2 linked regions of the Coturnix japonica genome follow. The protein of the gene in region 1 interacts with the protein of each later gene in a biochemical or structural test. Links are inferred from orthologs where the notes say so. Each region holds a gene or a part of one and is shown in the gene's direction. Other genes may lie near its edges.

Region 1 (4,508 bases):
TGTGCTCTATAAACATGGTAAGAGTTTAAAAGATCTTGCCATGATAATTTTAACACCATTCTCTTGTAAAAATGAATCTTTCTTGCTTACACAGACTTACTCTTCATTGTGACATAGACAAAAGAGATGGGTCTCCAAGAAAGAGGAATTGGAAATCAAGTGTGGGATTGGGTCTAGCAGTTAATGGACTATTTGTATCCACTTGGTTTAAACACTGTGCTCTCAAGGGCTGCGTTGATCTTCTCCACAATGTGTGAGCACAGGGTTACAGTTCTATTTCCGTGTTTGACATGGAAGAGTTTTCAATCAATTACATTTCAGTTATTTCAATTCTCAGACGTGTGTTTAAATTATCCCAGCTCTAATATATGTATTGTTGTAGTCATTTCTTTCCAGTCTTGTCAGGAGAACTGTCAGTTCACACCACTCAATCTTTCAGCAGAGCCACAAAAGGGCAGATAACTTGGTTAGCTCGTAGCTATCAAGAACTCTGTTAACATCAATCAGTATTAAGAAAAGAAGAAAAATAAGGATCTGTATCTCTAGATGAGAACTGAAGTACAAATCTGTTCAATTAGGCATGAAACTTATCACTGCATATTCTCATGCATTTATCAAGTCAACACTTAACTACATTCTTCAGAGCATCTGCATGTAGCTTTCACGAAGCTTTTAAAATCCTTTTCCCTCTCAATGGCTCACTGCACTTTATTGAAGTTAATATTTATAAAAGCGATTCAGAAGGAACACAAACATTTTCGTTTGCACCAGCTCTGTGGAAGAAGAGCACAAGATTCCTAAAGGAATTACAAAGCCTAAGAAACATGTGGAGACTAAAAGGGCGAGCAGAGCAGCTGCGGGAGAACAACGCTTAAGCTCCGTTCACCCGGCTTCCGATTGTGACCACCCTCCGCTCGGCTATAGCGCAACACGTGGATGCGGATAAGGCCACGGCTGCTCTCACCACCCCGCCTGGCAGAGCCCCCCGACGACCTCTTCAGCCCCAAGCCGGGGAGGGGCAGCACCGTGATTCCTCCCCCGCGCCCGCAGCCAGCGCAGAGAGGCGGCTCCCCGGGGTTCCCTTTTTTCTCTCCCGAGGTTTATTTCCCCGCTCTGTGCCGCCTCCGCCCCGCGGTAGCATTGCGCTACGGGGCGCTGTGTGCGGCAGCCGCCCCGCGTTGAGCCCCGAGCAGGGGCCGGGAGCTGACTCCAATGAGCGGGGATGTCGCACCCGGGCCGACAGAGACTCTGTGAGAATCATAAACCCATCACAACACTGAGATAGGGATCGATATGTTTTCTCTCCGGCAAGCGGGCGCTCTGTACCCGCTCAGTAGAAACTGCACGGGAAGTTTGAAGCGGGTGGGAGGAGGGCAGCATCCCTTCTCCGAACACTGCTCCCGGCTTCCACGCGTCCCGGCGAGCTCCAGCTCCGCCACAGGGGACGGCTCGGGGGAGGGCCGCACGTCAGCATCGGTGGGGCGGCGTCACAGAGCGCCCCGGGAGCGGCGGGCGGGGGTCCCGGGCGGGGCCGGCATCGCCGCGGCGGGCTGCGGCCGCGGTGGCGGCGGCGCGCCGCCTCGCCTCTCCTCTCCTCGCTTCGCTTCGCCTGGCCGCTCGCCGCCGCGGAGGGGCGGCGCTGCCTCCCCGTACTCCCCCGCCCGGCGCCCCGCTCCGTCTCCGGGAAGGGCGCGGGGAGCCCCTCGTTGCCCCTCGGCGCAGCGGAGGAGTTGAAGCCGGCGGCGGCAGATCGGTGTGATGCCGTGTTAGCCCCCGGAGGGAAGGAGCACGAGTGGCCGGGGCTGCGGCTGGCATCATGGGCACCGGGCTCGGGGGCGCGGCGGACGGGCTCCCTGCGCGCTCCTAGTGAGCCCGGAGATGTGCCGGCGCCCGGGGGAAATATTTTGGAAATAGCACGGAGCGGTCCGAGGAGGACGAGCGGGGACACCCCGTTTCACCAGCTGAGAGGAGGTCGCCCGGCGGTCGTGTACTGGCAAGTAAGAGCTCCTTTTCTTTCATGTTTTTATTTTAATATATATATGCATATATATTTTTTCCTCCCCGCATCTCGAGTGACTTCTTGCAGCTGTTGGTTGCCTGCACCGGGTTTGGAGTTCAGTCTCCCGGCAGGCTGGGCTGGGCTGCAGGGGAGCGCGGTCCCGCATCCCAAAGGTACGCGCTGCACCGCGGTGCCGGGGGAGCACTGGGTGCGGGGAGCCCGCTTACAGCTGCAACAAATGGTGACTTACAGGAATTAGTGTGAAATGCCTTTTCCTTTCTGCTGGGCTGTAACTCAATTGTAGGAGACTCTTAATTGCTTTCTGGCAGCGGCAGGCTGCGTGTGAGCGTTTCAGATCCTGTCAGGGATTAAGATAGCAAAGCTGGAGTTTTGATTTTGATGCTTTTAACTTTCTGGTGTCCTACCTGGGCATTTCCTCTGAGGTGCTTTTGCTGTGAGGATATGGTTTATTCGGTCTTGTTTGTTTGCTTGCTTTCACCCGTGGCTACCTATTATCGTACTTGGCAGTGCCATGAAACAGAAAGTTGACCGTGACATGTTCAGGATGCAGAGCATGGGCAGCAGGCAGGGGGCTAATTCTGCTCCTGGAGGAACTCCACAGGAACAGGCCCAGGAGTCTGTGATCTCCTGCTAAAACCTCAAAGAGCTCTGAACAGACCTGTCACGCTGCAGAGGACAAACCCTCCTGTTCACTGTTCAGCACAGATAGTGTTTAAGCTAACAACCTGCTTTCCCCTATCTACAAAGCACCTGCCTGTGGAATGCAGGGGATAGAGAAATGATTCCTGTGCCAATTTGGGAGCAGACAGAACTTCAGACTACGTTTAATTAAGTTTGCTGGTATTGATTTCTTTAGCATCTTCTTTCTGAGCCTGAAAACTACAATTCTGTACAGTGACCTTGATGCACGTTCTGTTCGAACACAGGAGTATCACAGAATAAAAGCAGTTATACAGATTTATAGTTCAGCTCTGACACTTCACTAAGAGCTCTGGCAGCGCCAGTTGAACGCAGTAGTTTCAGCAGAGGTATATGGTGTGTGTACAGGCTTGGAGAAATAGCTCACCCACAGGGTAGAAATAAGTTGTGGTCTTAGAAGCTCTTGCAGAAATGTCAGCATGCATGAAACATCTGAGGAGTTTGGGATATTTCTTTTTCTAATCAGAGAGATCTGTAGCAAAAGATGTTTGGGGGCAGTCTTGGAGCTCTTCAGGTTAAGGCACATTGCTTTGCTGACAGGAGCAGATCTTCTAATGGGCTGCAACAGATGTTTTTACATAGATGCTAAGCTAACTGGATTAAAAGCTGTTGACTTGCCAGTAACTAACTCGAGTTTATAGCAGAAAGATAAAGTAAGCCTTTCCGGTAACTGGACGGAGCTCCCTGTGGGTTAGAAGGCAGAAGGGAATGTCATTTGTTTCAGTGCAATTTCAGGATAGCTTTCCTGTGGTTTGTATTTCTAACTGCCTGAAGATACAGTGAAACACAATTAGAATAACTGTTGAAAGATATTGGGACACGAATCAATCCATTACTTTAAACAGCTTCTGCGTCATATCAACAAAGTACAATTTTTAACAAAGTGCTCTTCAGTTTTGTTGTAGTAATTCCTTCCTCTGTTGCAGAGTGGCAGGCTTTCACTAGGCATGTGCAAGGGAGAACACGAAACAGTGAAGAATGCACTGATCTGAATTAATTTGGGCTATGTAATGTAGTGGCGATTTCCACAATTAATATAATTAACTGCTTACAGTTGATTCTATAAATAAGTGGGTTTTAAAAATAGTGTCAGCTTTGTCACTCCTGATACAGATTATGGAGCCCTTTTATTTCTTTTCAGTTCTTCAAATTAATCAAACGCTATACTCGTTCTTTGCCTCAAGAGGAAGAAAACATAATTTACTGATATATCATTTGGCTTTTGCAGTATCTTGCCCAATAGCTATGAGATAATCTAATGAAGGTCCTCGTCACCGAATTAAAGAACATGCTGCTCTAGACTTTCACTTACAGAGAAATTATTGTTACATGGCTGAAGAACCAAGTTTTCACAGAATCTAGTAGAAAAAGGAAACCTTTCTTTTTATGCTGGGGACTTGAAAGGGGGAAGGTAGAACATGAGGTCTTTAAGGATAAAATTACAAAGCAGTGACTTCTAAGATACTGATCAAAACCCTTTATCTTCAGATATTTTCTTTATCTTTGATTTGGAACTTTTCCACATACTTCAGTTTAAATTATGTATAGTTCTTAATTTTAAAAACTAGAGAATGTCCATTGTACCATTTACTGTAAAGCTCTTTCAAGCCTTCTCTCTAATGTGCTTTATCACAGTTTGCTTGTACCTTTTTCAATTAGAGATTTCCAAAGTACAGCACGTTCAACTCTGTGGCAGGGATTTTTATTATAATGTTATGCAGATCTTTTTAATAGAGAGGATATTGACTTGATTCAGAGATTTCAGGTTAAGATATTACATTTCTTTCCT
Region 2 (3,815 bases), on another chromosome or scaffold:
GAAGTCTTGTAGAAATCTGACTAAAACAATATTTATCTAAACTTAATATAATGCAATCTAGGACATTCAGAGTAAAAATATCAAGCAAACACGCATGTTGCTAATGAACTAAGGAGTCTTAAGGCTAAGCTTAATGAGTTGGTGCTCTTCTTTTTCAACTTTTTTTAAAGGAAAAAATATATATAGGGTGGTGAAGAGTGCAGAGGTCTCTAAAGAGCACATGCTTTGGCTCTTTGCACATTCTAGAGTGCTGAAGTGAATTGGAAAAGCTGAACTTCCTGTTGAACTGTCTTCTTTCATTTACAGTGATATAATGATGAGAGACAATCTCTTTGAAATTGTAACTACTTCTCGAACCTTTTATGTACAGGTAATTTCTTTTAAACTTTGGGTAAAACCAAGGGGTTGATGTAGCCAAAGCAAGGAAGCAGTGCCATTTGTCTTATGAAGTTGTGTTTAACTGCACTGTGATTTTCAGAGGGAATACAATTTTCATTATATTTCAGAAGATGGGTGAAAGAGATACTCTAAATCTCAGCAATTGTTGTTAGTGTCTGAAAGCAATGAACAATAAATCCTAATGTGATGTGGTTGGTATTTGTGTCTTCAAATTCTGTGGCATCTACTCAATATACTAAACCTTTAACTTTGAGGGTACTGAATTTTCATTTATAGTAATCAAGTTCTCAGATTAAAATTAGTTGCCACGTGAAAATAGCACAGGAACATCTAGGTTTTGTATCTGAAAGTGCTTTTGGCAGTATCTATCTGTATGCACATTATTTACTGCATCTCTTCCTTATTTTTTTTAAAATTTGATTTAGTGTAAGTTGATTTAGCGTAAATCTCAAAGACTTGCATTGTTTTGCTGTGTGGGAGTGTGATGCTTATAGTGCTATTTCTCCTATTTCTGAAGGAGGAATTCATTTCTAGCTTTCTCTTATAGGATTAGAATGGCTTTTATACAGGTTTTGGAGCCAAATGAGTTGTGAGCAGTCTCACAGCTCAACAGAATCTAATAGACATGTTTCATATGCTTCTTAATGATGTATATGCTAGTTTTAGTCAATATATATGCAACCTAACAGAGGGAGCTTTAGCTTTTTCTTTTGTCTCAGATACATACATATGTTAATCTGTTTCATCTGTGTAAGACTCTTGTTCTACATAAATGTATAGCAGACCCTGAATATAGACTGCTTCTTATTTTGCTGTAGCTCTTCAGTAATTACCTCATAGAAGTGACTGAAAAATGCAGAAGCTGTCATTGTGCAGAGTCCCATGAGGGAGGTCAGCAGATCTCCTGTAAGAATTAACGTGGGTGGTTTAATTTGTTTGTTTGAACTTAGCAAAAAAAAAAATGAATCTAGGATAAGTAAAATAGTGTGTGTGTGTATTTATTTATACACTTGCTGCTTATTACTTTATAGAAGCATATGTATATAAAGGTAAATTAAAGGAAAAATTTTTATGGAATATCAGCTTTAAGAAATACAAGTCCATATGGCTTTAAATAAGAGACCCTTCAAGTAGGATAAGGCTCTGATTTTAATGAGGATGGTCAGCACGCTGGAAAAAGAGCTGCTTGTTAAACATAACCCATGTTATTTGATCCAGGCGGACAGTCCAGAAGACATGCACAGTTGGATAAAAGCAATTTCTGGGGCCATTGTAGCACAGCGGGGACCTGGAAGATCAGCAGCTTCCGTATGTTACTCTGAAACTTAAAGAAATGCAATTAGTTGGTGTTCACTTCTGCACACGAGGTTCTAGATTTTTACTTTTGTCTGTCTTCCATTCTGTCCTGTAGTAACGTGGCATCTTTGCATGAAATTTCCTACGGACTGGCATAAATTATTTTGTGTTCTTAATGAGCACGTAGCTTAGTCTTATCTATATGTTGCTTTATGTGCCTTGTACTGTCTCGAACACGTGGGTCGTGCAAGTGCTGACATAGAAGGATTCGTCTGAGTTCAGTTGGATCTTTTGTTGCTATGCTGCTGTGAGTAAAATCAAACCTTTCTAATTCCTGCGAGGCATTTTTGATATTTGGATAGTGCATTCCAATGACAAAATCTTAACGTGCTTGTAGCAACTCTCGCTACTAGATTATCATTGTCTGTTGCTCGTAGTTCACTGTATATGCAGATACAGATTCCCATTTGAAATACTTTCTGAAGAAATGCCTGCTCGCATGAATTAGATCTTGCTGTTGGAGACGTAGTGTGAACACCATCTAGCATTTCTGAACTGAGGCACTGTGACAGATCTTCATGTTGGTGAAGCTGCGTGGATGACAGCATTTCATCCATGCTTGCATTTAAACTGCGTCACAGTGTCCTCAAGTATGGCCAGATAGAACAAATGGAATACTTTTACAGTTCAGATGCTGCAAGGTATGCTTTTTCACTTTCTGGCTGTGGGATGTTTTGTAATAAGCTGAATATGTCATCACCCCCATCACCTGAAATCCAGTAACTTCAATCTGACACCTGACTACATATTTTTGCATCAATGTTTCTGTCAACAGAGCCAAAGCTGTCAGTTATTTTTGCAGCTGAGAGCTGGCTTTAAATAAAAAATTGCTATGTTAAATCTTGTTACTTTTGGGGGGTATGAAAATACGCAGATAACTTTTCTTTGTGTATGCTGGTTTGTTTCCTTCGTGGGGCTAACTGAGCAACCTCGCTGTTACTGTCTGCATCACTTTTCTTTTTCCCTCTCTTCTTTCCCCAAGTATAGGTTACTCTAATCTTAGCTTTGCACTGTGTTCCAGATGCGGCAGGCCAGAAGGCTGTCGAATCCTTGTATACAGAGGTATACATCAAGAACTGGTGAATGCAGCACGTATGTGGGCTCTCATGGAAACTTGCCTTCTTAACAGAGGGCTTAGAACTAGAGACTAATTTGCGCTATTAAGAAACTAAAAATAATGCTACCTGTTACCATTACTGAAAACTAACTGGTAAATTACATCATTCACTTACAGGCTTGCACTGTATTTTCTTGCTTTTAAAATAATTGGAATCAAAAAGTGACAAAAGCATTTATTTGTACTTCAAACCAGAATATGCATTAAAACACAGTAAATGATGTAATATGATTTGGAAATGAAAGCACAAGAGCTGATTTGCATGAGAGTTCATATTTCCATTTTACTTTACATCTTGTTTTTGGAACTGCGCAAAAGCAAAATTAAACTTCAGCTCCCCACAAACTAATGCAGATGCGTGCACACAAAAAATGCACGTCTTAACTCTGGCAATTGGAAAGATAATAACTGCAGCCTGATCTGCATGGCTTATAAGTGTCTGCATGAAATTTAGTTCAAACGTAGAAGCGCTGTAATGTACGATGGCTGTTCAAAGCAGTACAGCTGGAGAGTAACATAGCAACAAAGTCTTTTAAAGGTGGAGTTAGTCAGTGTGGGTAGTAAAATCCGAGTATCCTTTGGCTGATATAATCAGAAAGCTTTCTGTAGAGGGATCTTGTCCTTGGTTCCCTGATTGCTGTCCTGCGTGTTCATCTGTGAGTAGTGTTAAAAAGAAGGGCAGTAGTAACATACTGAGTCATACAGACTCCTAAAGCAAACATTTGTCTTGAAGTGAACTGTCAAGTCAGGTGTGAAATACAGCAGTGTAATTAATATGTAACACCACTGAATTTGAGCACAAAATTGAAGTCCAAAGATGAATGACTCCTTCATCCTGTGCTATTAATTCATATAAAAAAGAAATATGATGTTATTTAGCAGGATCCATTATGATTACATGTATAAATCACTGTGATAGCATTCTAAAAGAAACTTTGAGAAA

The links.
Region 2: the proteins of SNTG1 (region 1) and PLEKHA1 form a complex in vitro, tested with the Homo sapiens proteins (2 studies listed by BioGRID and IntAct, with this or other methods). The link is inferred for Coturnix japonica from reciprocal best matches to the Homo sapiens genes SNTG1 and PLEKHA1.

Annotation. Positions count from the first base shown.
Region 1 is NC_029517.1:98,331,050-98,335,557, forward strand, and holds the start of SNTG1 (gamma-1-syntrophin), read left to right. Parts: upstream 1-1,567; 5' UTR 1,568-1,997; intron 1,998-4,508. UniProt on the Homo sapiens protein: Adapter protein that binds to and probably organizes the subcellular localization of a variety of proteins. May link various receptors to the actin cytoskeleton and the dystrophin glycoprotein complex.
Region 2 is NC_029521.1:27,852,473-27,856,287, forward strand, and holds part of PLEKHA1 (pleckstrin homology domain-containing family A member 1), read left to right. Parts: intron 1-306; coding exon 307-370; intron 371-1,617; coding exon 1,618-1,707; intron 1,708-2,742; coding exon 2,743-2,817; coding exon of another isoform or gene 2,818-2,847; intron 2,848-3,815. UniProt on the Homo sapiens protein: Binds specifically to phosphatidylinositol 3,4-diphosphate (PtdIns3,4P2), but not to other phosphoinositides. May recruit other proteins to the plasma membrane.